Linked DNA regions of Sus scrofa. The protein of the gene in region 1 interacts with the protein of each later gene in a pairwise test. Links are inferred from orthologs where the notes say so. Each region holds a gene or a part of one and is shown on either strand. Other genes may lie near its edges. The genes, in order: CEBPG, CEBPE and ATF4.

Evidence for each region.
Region 2: the proteins of CEBPG (region 1) and CEBPE interact in a two-hybrid assay, tested with the Homo sapiens proteins (2 studies listed by BioGRID and IntAct, with this or other methods). The link is inferred for Sus scrofa from reciprocal best matches to the Homo sapiens genes CEBPG and CEBPE.
Region 3: the proteins of CEBPG (region 1) and ATF4 interact in binary tests that used the Homo sapiens proteins (3 or more experiments, as listed by UniProt). The link is inferred for Sus scrofa from reciprocal best matches to the Homo sapiens genes CEBPG and ATF4.

What each region holds. Positions count from the first base shown.
Region 1 is NC_010448.4:43,171,398-43,174,929, forward strand, and holds part of CEBPG (CCAAT/enhancer-binding protein gamma), read left to right. Parts: 5' UTR 1-32; coding exon 33-527; 3' UTR 528-3,532. UniProt on the Homo sapiens protein: Transcription factor that binds to the promoter and the enhancer regions of target genes. Binds to the enhancer element PRE-I (positive regulatory element-I) of the IL-4 gene. Binds to the promoter and the enhancer of the immunoglobulin heavy chain.
Region 2 is NC_010449.5:75,925,209-75,929,475, reverse strand, and holds the start of CEBPE (CCAAT/enhancer-binding protein epsilon), read right to left. Parts: upstream 2,825-4,267; 5' UTR 1,306-2,824; coding exon 793-1,305; intron 211-792; coding exon 1-210. UniProt on the Homo sapiens protein: Transcriptional activator. C/EBP are DNA-binding proteins that recognize two different motifs: the CCAAT homology common to many promoters and the enhanced core homology common to many enhancers.
Region 3 is NC_010447.5:8,742,923-8,747,064, forward strand, and holds ATF4 (cyclic AMP-dependent transcription factor ATF-4), read right to left. Parts: upstream 2,831-4,142; 5' UTR 1,932-2,830; intron 1,360-1,931; 5' UTR 1,268-1,359; coding exon 1,042-1,267; intron 946-1,041; coding exon 86-945; 3' UTR 42-85; downstream 1-41. UniProt on the Homo sapiens protein: Transcription factor that binds the cAMP response element (CRE) (consensus: 5'-GTGACGT[AC][AG]-3') and displays two biological functions, as regulator of metabolic and redox processes under normal cellular conditions, and as master transcription factor during integrated stress response (ISR).

The DNA.
Region 1 (3,532 bases):
GTGGAGACCGTTGATCTGACCGCCTGGCCCGGATGTCTGCCTGCTCTGGGCTGACGAGGGAGAGCGCCCAAATGAGCAGGGTGTCGCCGCAGACCTCTGGTGCTCCCCCGGTGCTGAACGGGCTAACTGTCACTCACACTCAGGCGCATGCCAGCGGCTTACAGCAGGTTCCGCAGCTGGTGCCCGCCGGCCCTGGGGGCGGAGGCAAAGCTGCGCCTCCAAGCAAGCAGAGCAAGAAGAGTTCGCCCATGGATCGCAACAGTGATGAGTACCGGCAGCGCAGAGAGAGGAACAACATGGCTGTGAAAAAGAGCCGGTTGAAAAGCAAGCAGAAAGCCCAGGATACACTGCAGAGAGTGAATCAGCTCAAGGAAGAGAATGAACGGTTGGAAGCAAAAATTAAATTGCTGACTAAGGAATTAAGTGTACTGAAGGATTTGTTTCTTGAGCATGCACACAACCTTGCAGATAACGTGCAACCCAGTAGCACTGAAAATACAACGAATTCGGATAGTGCAGGACAGTAGGCCTCCCCCCTTCCAAACTTCACAGCTTGTGGCTGGAACGGAAAAGGTGTGGCGGCCGACACCACTCACATCATCAGCTGAACCTTGTCTTGTGCCATTAGAGATGCGTTGAAGGTTGTTTTCTAGGATCATCACTGAAGAGTTGATTAGCTGGAAACGTTAGCCATGTAATTTGAATATCTGGTTTTAAATTATGAGGATTTCTTTGGGGATTAAAAAAAAACATTTTTAAAGGATAGATTAAAAAAAAATAATTCCCTGGACCTTTATGTTCTTAATTACATCCTGACTTCCCAAGGAATGTTTCTTTTTTTAAGGTCGACAAAAGGAATGGGGAACTGGCAAGTCATGCAGTAAGTTCTTGGTTTTCATCGATATGGTAAATTGGATGGAGACAAGTTGAATGCCATCTCTGTTAATCCATTTGTGACTTTTTTCTAAATTATGTATTAAAAATGCTTAGGGCTATAGAAGCCAATCACTTTGTAATGTGGAGTGATTTTATGTATAGTATAAACCTCGTTTTAGCATCATTGGTACTGCTTTCCCCAGCAAGTACAAGCTTTTGAATAGCAATGTCAGGTTAAGTAAAGAAACCCCATTGCATTTTAAAGGCAGTATGCAGCCAGTTGGCTTAAAAACTTAAATAGTATTTAGGAAGCAAATAGGTTTATAAAAAATAAAAGCAGAGCATATTAGAATTACACTTTTAGGATGCCTTTGGGTTATTGAATTGGCATTATTTTGCTAAAATAAAAAAAACCCATAACAGTTCAGTGGTTTAGAGAAACTTGTGTACCAAAATCTTAGTTTCTACAGATGCTAGTAAAGTAAGCTTTTTTTTTTTTAAAGACAAAACCATTTGGACAGCCAGGTTAGTAAACAAAATGTCATAACAGTTATGACCACACAAGCTGCTGATTAGGATTTTGAATATTAATTTCAGCAGGTAATTTCTCCTGTGTTCAGACATACTGCATCGGGGCCGCAGTTTTTAAAAGCAAAAATTTCTTGTGAAGGATCATATGGTATTTGATCTTAATGACCTGATGATTAGAAAAACACATCAACTCCATGCCATCTCCCAAAATAATAGTTTAAGAAAACTTGAAAGTATAAAGTTTAACCTTTAATTTATTTCACTTAAACACATCTTTTTATATGGTTTTTGTGACATTTCCTTTTCTAGTTAGTGGGGCTGTTCTTTGAGACTTTTGTACCACTTTTCATTTGTATGCATGTATGTCCCATAAATTATTTTAGCAAGAAAATACTGATAATAACTCAGGATACTGACATTTTTGTTGAGACTAAAAAATGGCAGTCTCTAAAGACAGGAATCTCTAGGGTCTGGCTTATATCAATGTTGTTGGTAGTTTTCATTGTCCTTGTTGGCTCTTTTAAGCACAAACCTAGCTCAAATCTGTTGGTGTCTGTCTTTTTTTCTTTTTTCTTTTTTCCTTTTTTTTTTTTGGTGAGGGTGGTGGTGGTGATAAGAGACTGAGTCCCATCTGATTAAAGTTTGTGTTGCCAGGTATCTCACTTGCACATGGTCATTTGGGGCCATGTTGTACTAGGACCCGGGACAGTGTCATCAGGATGTAACTCAAGTGGCGCCCTTGAGTTGGGAAAAGAGTGCTGTCTGTGCCCTTCCCCTGGGCGGGAGGACATCACAGACCCCTGGCACTCAGCAAAGCCATGATTAAAGGCCAGGAGCAAGGCCTTTCTGCCCGTGACAGGAATCCTGTATTGTTCCGTAAGAGCCACTGTCCCAGTAGGGTTAGCTCCCTGTCGAGCCAGGAGACAGTAGGGGTTTCTGTTAGGGTCCAACATCGGTTTACTATTGGTTGGGGTCTCAGTGTACTTGTAAGTTGACAGATGTTTTTCAGTAACTAACTAGGAGATACCACCTGAATCCTACTGAGTCTTTAATAGCCCTCATTGGAGATGCACTTAGGCCCCTGGAATCTTTAAGCACCTGTAAGGGGTGCTACAGACATTTAAATCTCTTACTTACTAAAGGATTATCTTTCAGAAATTGATGTCCCCACAGAATTTATTGTTACCAGTTAGATGAACTGACTTAGCTGTCTTGGAAGAGAAGCTTTAGGGAAATCATCAGGTGTGTACTCAGTTATTTCAAAGAAGAAAATCAGATCGTAACTTTGGGAAAAAATTGATTTAAGCTGTCTTTTTTCCTGTGCAAATCAAAGCTAGCACAAGCAGTCATGCATAGAACAGAAATGTAACCGTTGTCTTGACTACCTTACCGAAGTGTTTGGGCATGGAAGTTTTTAGTCTATCAGTATAAAATTGAGGGAAGCCAAGTACAGGGGATGGGTAAGTTTAGAGCTTTGGGAATTGTAAATGCCTTTTGTAACTTTTGTTCTGTAGGTTACCTATGAACCATTAGGAATGATCTGCCTTGGTTGGCAGGTCTCTGGTTTAGGAATTAGGTTTACTATAAATTTCTGGCTGCATCGGAGTCTTCCGGGATAGGTGCTTTCTGACTGGTCTTGGCTGCAGGTGGTGTGTGCGATCAGAGCAGCCTGTCCTGCTGTCTGGCCTCTTTTACACTGAGAGGTGAGCTCAGATAACTTTGGACATTCTTACTAAGGAGTAGTAAGATTAAAAAAAATTATCGAAGTATAGTTAATTTACAGTGAGAAGTGGGTAAGATTTTAATAACATGATCAGATTTTTGAAATTCAGATCATGAGTGTGAAATTCCCAAATTTACATAAAGATGTATGTACAATTTAATATTTGGTATTAAAGGAAGTCGTAGCAGCTTTTGATGTTTCTTAATCCCCATTAGAGGGCTTGAGACCTGAACAACCCAGTTAAAGCACTCGGAGAGTGTTTTTGATGCCTTCGAAACAGGAAAAAATTTTTGTTTGACAAAAGCTAGGAAGGAAGAAAATCCATTCTGTAGCTGTTAGATCTGCTTCTCAGGAAAAAGTACTTTTTCTTTTTGTTCCTAGCTTTCCTCAGTTTGTGAGATT
Region 2 (4,267 bases), on another chromosome or scaffold:
CATGTATTCCAGCACCTTCTGCTGCGTCTCCAGAATGCGCCTCTTGGCCTTGTCCCGGCTCTTCCGCACGGCAATGTTGTTTCGCTCCCGCCGCAGCCGGTACTCCAGGCTGTCTTTGTTCACGGCCTTCTTGCCCTTGTGTGAGGGGCCAGCTGGGGAGGGCGCCTTGAGGAGGGGGCTGCAGGGGGGTGCAGCAGTGGCCAGAGGGGCCTGGAGGGGAAGGAACAGAGGGACAAGAGTGAGGGCTGCTGGGAAGCAGAGTGGAGGCAGGGTAGACATCCCAGTAGGCAGAGCACACTTGGGGCATCAGAGGGATGTGGGGTTCAGAGCCAGCTCCTAGCTCCCGGTCAGAACAGCCATCGCCCTGCCAGATGCACGAGGTCCTCTGCTCTGATCCAAACTCCCATTCGCCTCCCCACACTCTCTGAGGACACTTTCCTTCCAACTATCTTGACTTTTCAGTTCTGCCATTAGCAGACATTTCCTCTTCAAGAAGCAGGAGGCAGCACAGAAATGAGTGGTGGAGACTGATGGGTGGCAGAGAGGCTGGTGGGGGCCCTGAGGTCAGGGCAGGTCAGCTGGCCAGAGGGACTGCAGGACACATCGGTGTCAGCCACACAGTGGAGATCAGGGTGGGAGTGAATTCCCAGAGAAGCCAAGAGGGGCCACGACAGGGTGGTGAGCGCAGGGGGCTTGGGGTGGATGGGTTTCACAGAGCAACGCCACACACAGACCCCATCCACACAGACCCCAGACCCTGGATGGCGGGGAGGATAAGCGAACGGCTCTTACCTTGAGGACACGTAGGGGCTGGCTGGGTGCTGCCAGGGTCGGGGGCAGGTGCATGGCCGTCTGCCCACAGTGAGCCACTTGGTACTGCAGAGGGTTGTAGCCGCTGCGGCTGGCCCCCCGGCTGCCCTCAGGCCCCCGAGGCTCCTCCTTCACGGCCACGGCGGCTCTGGGGTCGTAGCTCCCCGGGCTGCTGTAGATGCCAGGCCCCAAGGCCTTCCTGTCGGGGCCGAAGGTATGTGGGGGGTAGGCGAAGGGCCGAGGGTCAGGCTGCAGATAGTGGGGGAAGGCAGGGGTTCCGGGGCCCTTCAGGCCTCGGGCCTCAGGTGCTGGCTTCACAGCGAAGAGGTCGGAGAGGAGCTGTTCCTCCCCAGATTCGATGTAGGCAGATAGGTCGATGGAGGCCTCATGCTCACACATGTCCCCTAGCTCCCCAGGCCCCGCTCGGGCCCCCGAGAACTCGAGTGGCTGCTGGCCAGCCCGGGGCTCACACTCGTAGTAGGTCCCGTGGGACATGGCCGGCCCGCCCCCTCAGCTCCCCGCCCCTGGCGGCCTGCTCTTGGGGCGCCCTTTGGGATGCTCGGCTTGCTATCTCCCCCTGCCCTAGATCTGCCCTAGATCTGCCCTCTCTGATCTCCTCTGTCACCCACTCCTGCGTGGCCTCTCCTCCCTCCTCTGCTGTTTCCTTTTCCTTCCTCTGTAGTCAATGCCTCTTTTCTCTTCCCTTTTTTCCCCTCTCTCCCTGGGGTGACTCAGGGAGGGGCAGGGCGCACCCCGGAGGGAGGGATGCAGGCCTTAGAGAAATGGGGGCCCTGGCCTGTTTCGCAGTAGGGGGGCACTCTGGTCAGGCTTGAGCCAGGGTTCTGAGATGCCCAGAAGCTGATGCTTCTGGGAAGAGGCCTCCCCCTCTCATTCGAGTCCGGGAGATTCTGGAATCCCCGTTGAGGGCAACCCCTCACTCTGAGTGTCCTCCTCCCTCCGACTTCCAAAAAGTCCTGTGCAGAATGAGTGCCCCGTCAGAACGAACAGAGAAAACCCTCTCCCAGTGCCGACCCCCAGCCTGATCTGAGCTCCTCCCTTGACACGCCTCCCTCTCAGTCCCCCCCACCTCCCAGGGCTGGGCTCCACCTACCCCCAGGGCCGCTCAGTTCCTTTTGTAGCCCCACCTCTCTGAGCCACTCTCCGGGGTGCAGGCCAAGGGGTGTTGTTTGAGGGGTCTAGGAAGTAGTTATCAGCCTGGGACTAAGCCTTATACGAGGCCCCGTCTCATGATGCAGAGGAGGCTCTTTTGCTAGGTTTTTGCACCGGCTCTGTGCAAGAGCCCAAGCCCTCACGTGTTTCCAGCCTGGGCCAGCGCTAGCAGCCTGGCATGGGCTGTGACTGCCCAGGCTTGGCTGAGGCACCTGCTCAGGGCTTAGGCCCTGTGCTCCAGGGCCCAGCAGGCTGCTGCCCCAGGAACTGGCAGCTACATTCCTCTCGTGGTTCCAGCGTCCGGCCTGCACTGCCAGAGCTTCAGGCTGGCGCTCTGCCCTCCTTGGGTCCTGAGGGCTCTGCCCGCTTCCTGTGCCTGGGCCGCAGGGCTCAGGCGCTCGCTGCAGCTCGGTTTGCTGTTTTTCCTTCTGCATGGCCGTTCTCTGACCTCTATGCGTGTCTCTTGGGTCCACTTCCTCTTGTGAGGGTTGAGAAGCCTTCTCTTTTGTCATCACCTCTTCCTGGGGCTCTGTTTCAGGGTCTCCAGGAGAAGCCCATGGCTCGCTCTGCACTTTTGGTCTCAGGCTGGGCCCCCTCTCTCTTCCCTTTTCTCTTTCCTCTGGGAACTCCCCACTCCCTCCTGTCAGAGGCACTTGCTGTGGCCCTGCTTTTACCTGTTGTATCTGCAAAAGGGACTCTGGGTGCGGTGCAAAGGAAAGGACATGTGGAAATATGTTACTGGATCTTTGTCACCAGCAAATTCTGTCCGTGCCCTGTGGAGGCCAGAAGGTTTAATAAGTCAGGCACACCAAGGGTCAGGCCATAAGGGGGCAAATGCGGAGCAGCTACATGTGGCACTAAATGCTAAAAAAAGTAGGCAGGAATTCCCATTGTGGCTCAGCAGGTTAAGAATCCGACTACTGGAGTTCCTGTCGTGGCGCAGTGGTTAATGAATCCGACTAGGAACCATGAGGTTGTGGGTTCGGTCCCTGCCCTTGCTCAGTGGGTTAACGATCCGGCGTTGCCATGAGCTGTGGTGTAGGTTGCAGACGTGCGTGGCTCGGATCCCACGTTGCTGTGGCTCTGGTGTAGGCCGGTGGCTACAGCTCCGATTGGACCCCTAGCCTGGGAACCTCCATATGGCGTGGGAGCGGCCCAAGAAATAGCAAAAAGACCAAAAAAAAAAAAGAATCCGACTACAGTCCATGAGAATGTGGATTCGATTCTTGGTCTCGCTCAGTGGGTTAAGGATCCAGCATTGCTGTGAACTGTGGTGTAGTTTGCAGATGTGGGTCAGATCTGGTGTCGCTGTGGCTCTGGTGTAGGCCGTCGGCTACAGCTCTGATTAGACCTCTAGCCTGGGAACCTCCATATGCTGTGGGTGTGGCCCTGAAAAACAAAAAGCAAATAAATAAAGATAACGTAGGCAGCCTGAGACAGGGCTCCCTGCAAATCAGGCAAGCTACCCCTCTACTTAGCATCCCCTCCCTCCACCTCCCCCAGGAGCTTGCTTGCTTGCTTGCTTGCTTGCTTTCTCTCTCTCTTTCTTTCTTTTTTCTTTCTTTCTTTTTTTTTTTTTTTTTTTTTTTGTCTTTTTGCCATTTCTTGGGCCACTCCCACAGCAATATGGAGGTTCCCAGGCCAGGGATCCAATCAGAGCTGTAGCCACTGGCCTATGCCACAGCCACAGCAATGCCAGATCTGAGCCGCGTCTGTGACCTACACCACAGCTCATGGCAACAATGGGTCCTTAATCCACTGAGCAAGGCCAGGGATCGAACCCTCGTCCTCATGGATATTTGTCATGTTCGTTAACCACTGAGCCACGACAGGAACTCCCCCAGGAGCTTTCTGTGTACAGTCTGAGGTACTTTCTCTGAAGGTCCCGAGCTGGCATGGGGAGATCTGCTTGCATCCAAGAGACAGAGCTCAGGTACCCAGATGGGGGAGATTTCTGCCTTCTCTCCATTTCAAAGGACCCTGTGACAAACAGGTCTCAGAGCTGAGCTGCTTCAGTTTGGCAGCAGTGTCTCATTTAACCACCAGGTGGTAATATTCGTCCAAAATTCAGGACTTGAGGGGCTGCTGCAGTCAGGAATCAGGTAGCCGGCAGAGGGCAGCTTCCCACAGCCCTGGCAAGGGCCAGACGCCTGGAAGGAGGAAGAGGAAACATGGCTGAGATGGGGCTCGCAGTGCAGTTGCAGGAAGAGCGTGCAGGCAGAGAAGACTGGGGCCAGGCCCTTGTCTTCATGAGGAGAAATGACACCCCAAATAGTGACGATAGTTA
Region 3 (4,142 bases), on another chromosome or scaffold:
ATTGACTGGAACATTTATCTGAAGAAATCAGTCATCAGCAGTACGTTCACTACAAAATAATTTATTGCAACACACAGCTAAAGCCCTAGCCTATGTACAAGCACATGCACACCCCTGCCCGGCAGCTAGGGGGCGCGTTTCTTCCCCGTGCCTTGCGGACCTCTTCTATCAGATCTTTGAGATACTGAATCTCCTTGGCCAAGGAATCTGCCTTCTCTTTCAGAGCTTCGTTCTTCTTTTCCAGCTCTTTACATTCGCCAGTGAGGGCCTCCTGCTCTGCCCTCTTCTTCTGGCGGTACCGAGTGGCTGCTGTCTTGTTCTGCTCCATCTTCTTCAGCTTCTTATCTAGTTTCTCACCCTTTACTTTTGCTGCTACCACCTTCTCTCCAGGAGGATCATAGGGTTTGGGCCGGACAGAACCACAAGGGGCCCCGGGAGAGAGCAAGCTCCTACTTGGAGAGGCCCTGGAGGTGGAGGGACTGTGCTGGGGAGAGCCCAGATAGGAGTCAGGGCTCATACAGATGCCACTGTCATTATCTGAGGGGGCATCCTCTTCCTTTATGCATTGAGGAATCAAGGTAATGTAAGTAGTGGAGTCTGGCTTCCTATCTCCTTCCGAGATTTCCACTTCACCCTGTATCTCTAAACTAAAGGAATTATCTGGAGTGGAAGACAGGGCCCCTGGGGAAAGGGGAAGAGTTTGCAAGAACGTAAAGGGGGCAACCTGGTCAGTTGTTGGTAAACTTTCTGGGAGATGGCCAATTGGGTTCACTATCTGCGGGGGCTCCTGGAGTGGGGGGTCAAAGAGATCACATGTGTCATCCAACGTGGCCAAAAGCTCATCTGGCATGGTTTCCAGGTCATCTATACCCAACAGGGCATCGAAGTCGAACTCCTTCAGATCCATTTTCTCCACCATCCAGTCTGTCCCGGAGAAAGCATCCTCTGCAAGAGATTTAAGAGGGACGGAACCCAGAGTCAGATGCACGCGGCAGCAAGGCTTTATCACCAGACCCCACCGGCAGGGAAAAGCCCACTCACCCTTGCTGTTGTCTGAGGCACTGACCAACCCATCCACAGCCAGCCATTCGGAGGAGCCCGCCTTAGCTTTGTCGCCGGAGAACCCATGAGGTTTGAAGTGCTTGGCCACCTCCAGATATTCGTCTAAGAGCCCTAAGCTCTCTTCAGCCCCCAAACCCGACGGGTCGAAGGGGGACATCAAGTCCCCCACCAACACCTCGCTGCTCAGGAAGCTCATCTCGGCCATGTTGCGGAGTTTTGATGGAATCGAGGAATGTGCTTAATTCGAAGGTGTCTTTGTCGGTTACAGCAACGCTGCTGCTGAATGCCGTGAGAAGCCTTAACAGGAACCAGAAACCAAGCCCCATTAGAGAACAGCTGGTCTGAGCCTTTCGCCTCTCCACCCCCGGGGCAGGACGGCCAAATCCCGACCCCGTGTGGTTGTTGAGACTTGGGGGCCGCTGGCCCCGGCTGCCAACCTTCCCCGCGTCCGCCTGGCGGCGCAAGATGGACGCCCGGCCGTTCCCCGACCCGCCACCAGAGGAAGGCGCCCGGTCCTCCCGGCCGAGTCCGGCCCCGCCCACGCCCGCCCGTGACTCACGCCGCGGCCGCCGCCCTGCCCCGCCGCCATCTTGGCTGCTGCCACGTTTCGTGGAGCCCCAGGGGGAGCCCCGGCCCCCCGGCCGGGGCCGGAGGTACCGAGGACTTCGCCCCACGCCCGAACAGCGCAGCGGCCTCTCGACCCAGGGGCGCTGGCGCTTCGGCGTCACCCCATCAGCGGCCACGCGTCCCGGGCGCTCGTAAAACCGCTTCCCCCTCCGCGACGCCGCCGGACCGCGCCCCAGCATCAGACAAGAACCCTTCACCGACCCGGGGGGACACGGCCCAGAGCGTCGGGCCCCGGTACTTACGCCATGGCTTAAGCCGCTGGGGGGTGCCGCTGCAGAGCCTGGTGCTGCTGCCGCCGCTGCAAAGGCCAATGCTGCCGCAGGCACTGCTGCCTCTAATACGCCATGGCGGCCGCGGACCCTGCGGGAGCGGAGGAAGAAAAGCGCCCACTCGCAGAAAAGGACTACATCTACAGCGGAGAGGAAAAGAAATGGCGGCGGTTCGCCGAGCGCGGGTCCTTTATAGACTCTGCCTCTGTGGGACGCATCACAGAGAATATTCTTCCGCCTAGGTCACGTGACCAGCGCCTCCCACCCACGCGCTTTCATTTAACCGACGCCCCTACCATTTCCAGTCTCTGACTTTTATGTCGAGGGCGAAACTGTGAGGACCAAATGAGTTACTTTTATTTACAGCCTCAAAAAAGGGCGCACTACTTTACAAGGCTTTTGAGATCTAAGGATCACCACCGTCCGCTGCCGGGATGCGCGGAAGGATCTTGCACAGCTACTTCCGGTGCTAGCCCGAGAGGCGGAGACGAGTCTTTCACCCCAAGAAGGGCTTTTATTGTGAAGTACGAGGTCTCCTGGTTATCGCGCGAGCTACTGGCGGAGAGCGCGCGTCGAAATGATTGGTTAGGCATGGTGAGTCATATATACATCGAGTTTCTATTGGCTCAGGCTCCGAGGCGGGCGGGTTGTTCAGCGAGGGAGCCCCTGATCTGCGCGGGAAGGTGGGTGAGGTTCCCGCCGCCGGGCCCCGGCGTCCTGCTCGCCGTAGCGCCGCTCTGCAAAGGCTCCCTCAGCCCCGCCCACCCAGCTGGCCTTGATTGCCCCGGGCAGCCCTGGCCCAGATCCAAATAGTGGCGTTAGGTCCGAATCCTCGTGGTCCTTTCCTGCCGCCCTTGGAGAAGCTCCGAACTAGGGACCGGGTTTAGGCCCGAATGTGAAACTAGTCAAGAGTAAATGTTATTTCGTCTGTTTTCACTTGCACACACTTGCAGAATACTGAGGACGTGTGAACCCTTCAGTAACTGGAAGGGGAGACTGATGACCTCAGCTGAGATCCACCTACCATCAAAGGCCTGCTCTGCGTCCTGACTCAACTCTGTAGAGGCGAGTCGAGTGGAGGAAATCCATAATCCTGTGGTCTAAACAATTGTATTTTTACATATCCATTCTGCTAAAATACAAGTTTCCTTTTATGTTAAAGAATGAAACCTATGACAGGGGAACTTCTTTCAGTTTATGTAGTTTCACTTCCCCTAAAAATGAGGTATTTTATTTAGCTGCTCTTTCTCACTCTAGGGTAGTTTCAATTATTTACCAACTCTGTAACTCCGCGGCATAACCACTTCCCAGCAAGTCCTACTGCCTGGGTGCTTGATCAGACCTGCCCACTTAGGGGAATTTGTGTGTTTGGAGGCCACAGTCCAGGTTAGGGCCAGTAACTTGCCCTCTCTACTGGGGAACTGTCAAGAGCTAGGAGAAAGCTCTTTCACCATCTTCCAGTCCTCCAATCAGGCCCTGTAGGGAAACCTTGAGTTTCCACTCCCCTTCATTTCAGTGGGCCCTACAAATATTATTTCTATGAGGACAGTGAGGTCAAAAATTGGTCAGGCACTTCCTACATAACAACTAACCATTCATTGATTTGAGTCAGTCTAGCCCAACCATTTCTTTACAGTGGTAAGCTGATGACTAAAGGCATGACATGTCTTGCCTGGTGTGGGCAGTATGGGGTAGGAGTTATGACAGATTTAAGGGCCAATTCCAAAAAATCTTGGCTTTCCCATTTATTAGTGGAGACATTCTGGTTAAGTGACTTACCCCCACTGAGTCTTCGTTTCCTGATCTGTAAAACGAGGCTAATGATGGGTATCCTCATCCTTAGAATGAAGTTAAGATAATATATTCACAGCACTGAGCCGTGCGCCTGGTACCTGGTAAGTGCTGGATAAATGGTTGCCATTACTCCTGTGACTAGAACGCAGGTCTTCTAACCCACCTCCCATCCCCATCATATCCTGCTCCCTCAGAGGACTGTTATTTACTGAGATGAAATCAACAACTATAAACAGCTGGTCTAGGAAAGCATACTGGATACTAGGTATGGTTTTTCTTTCCCCTTGGGGAATCTCAATTCTCTGGAAACATGTACAAGGCATCTGGTCTTTTGGTGCAAAGACAGTAAGAATCCCGAGCCACTACCCCCGAGCCACTACCCAAGTCTTC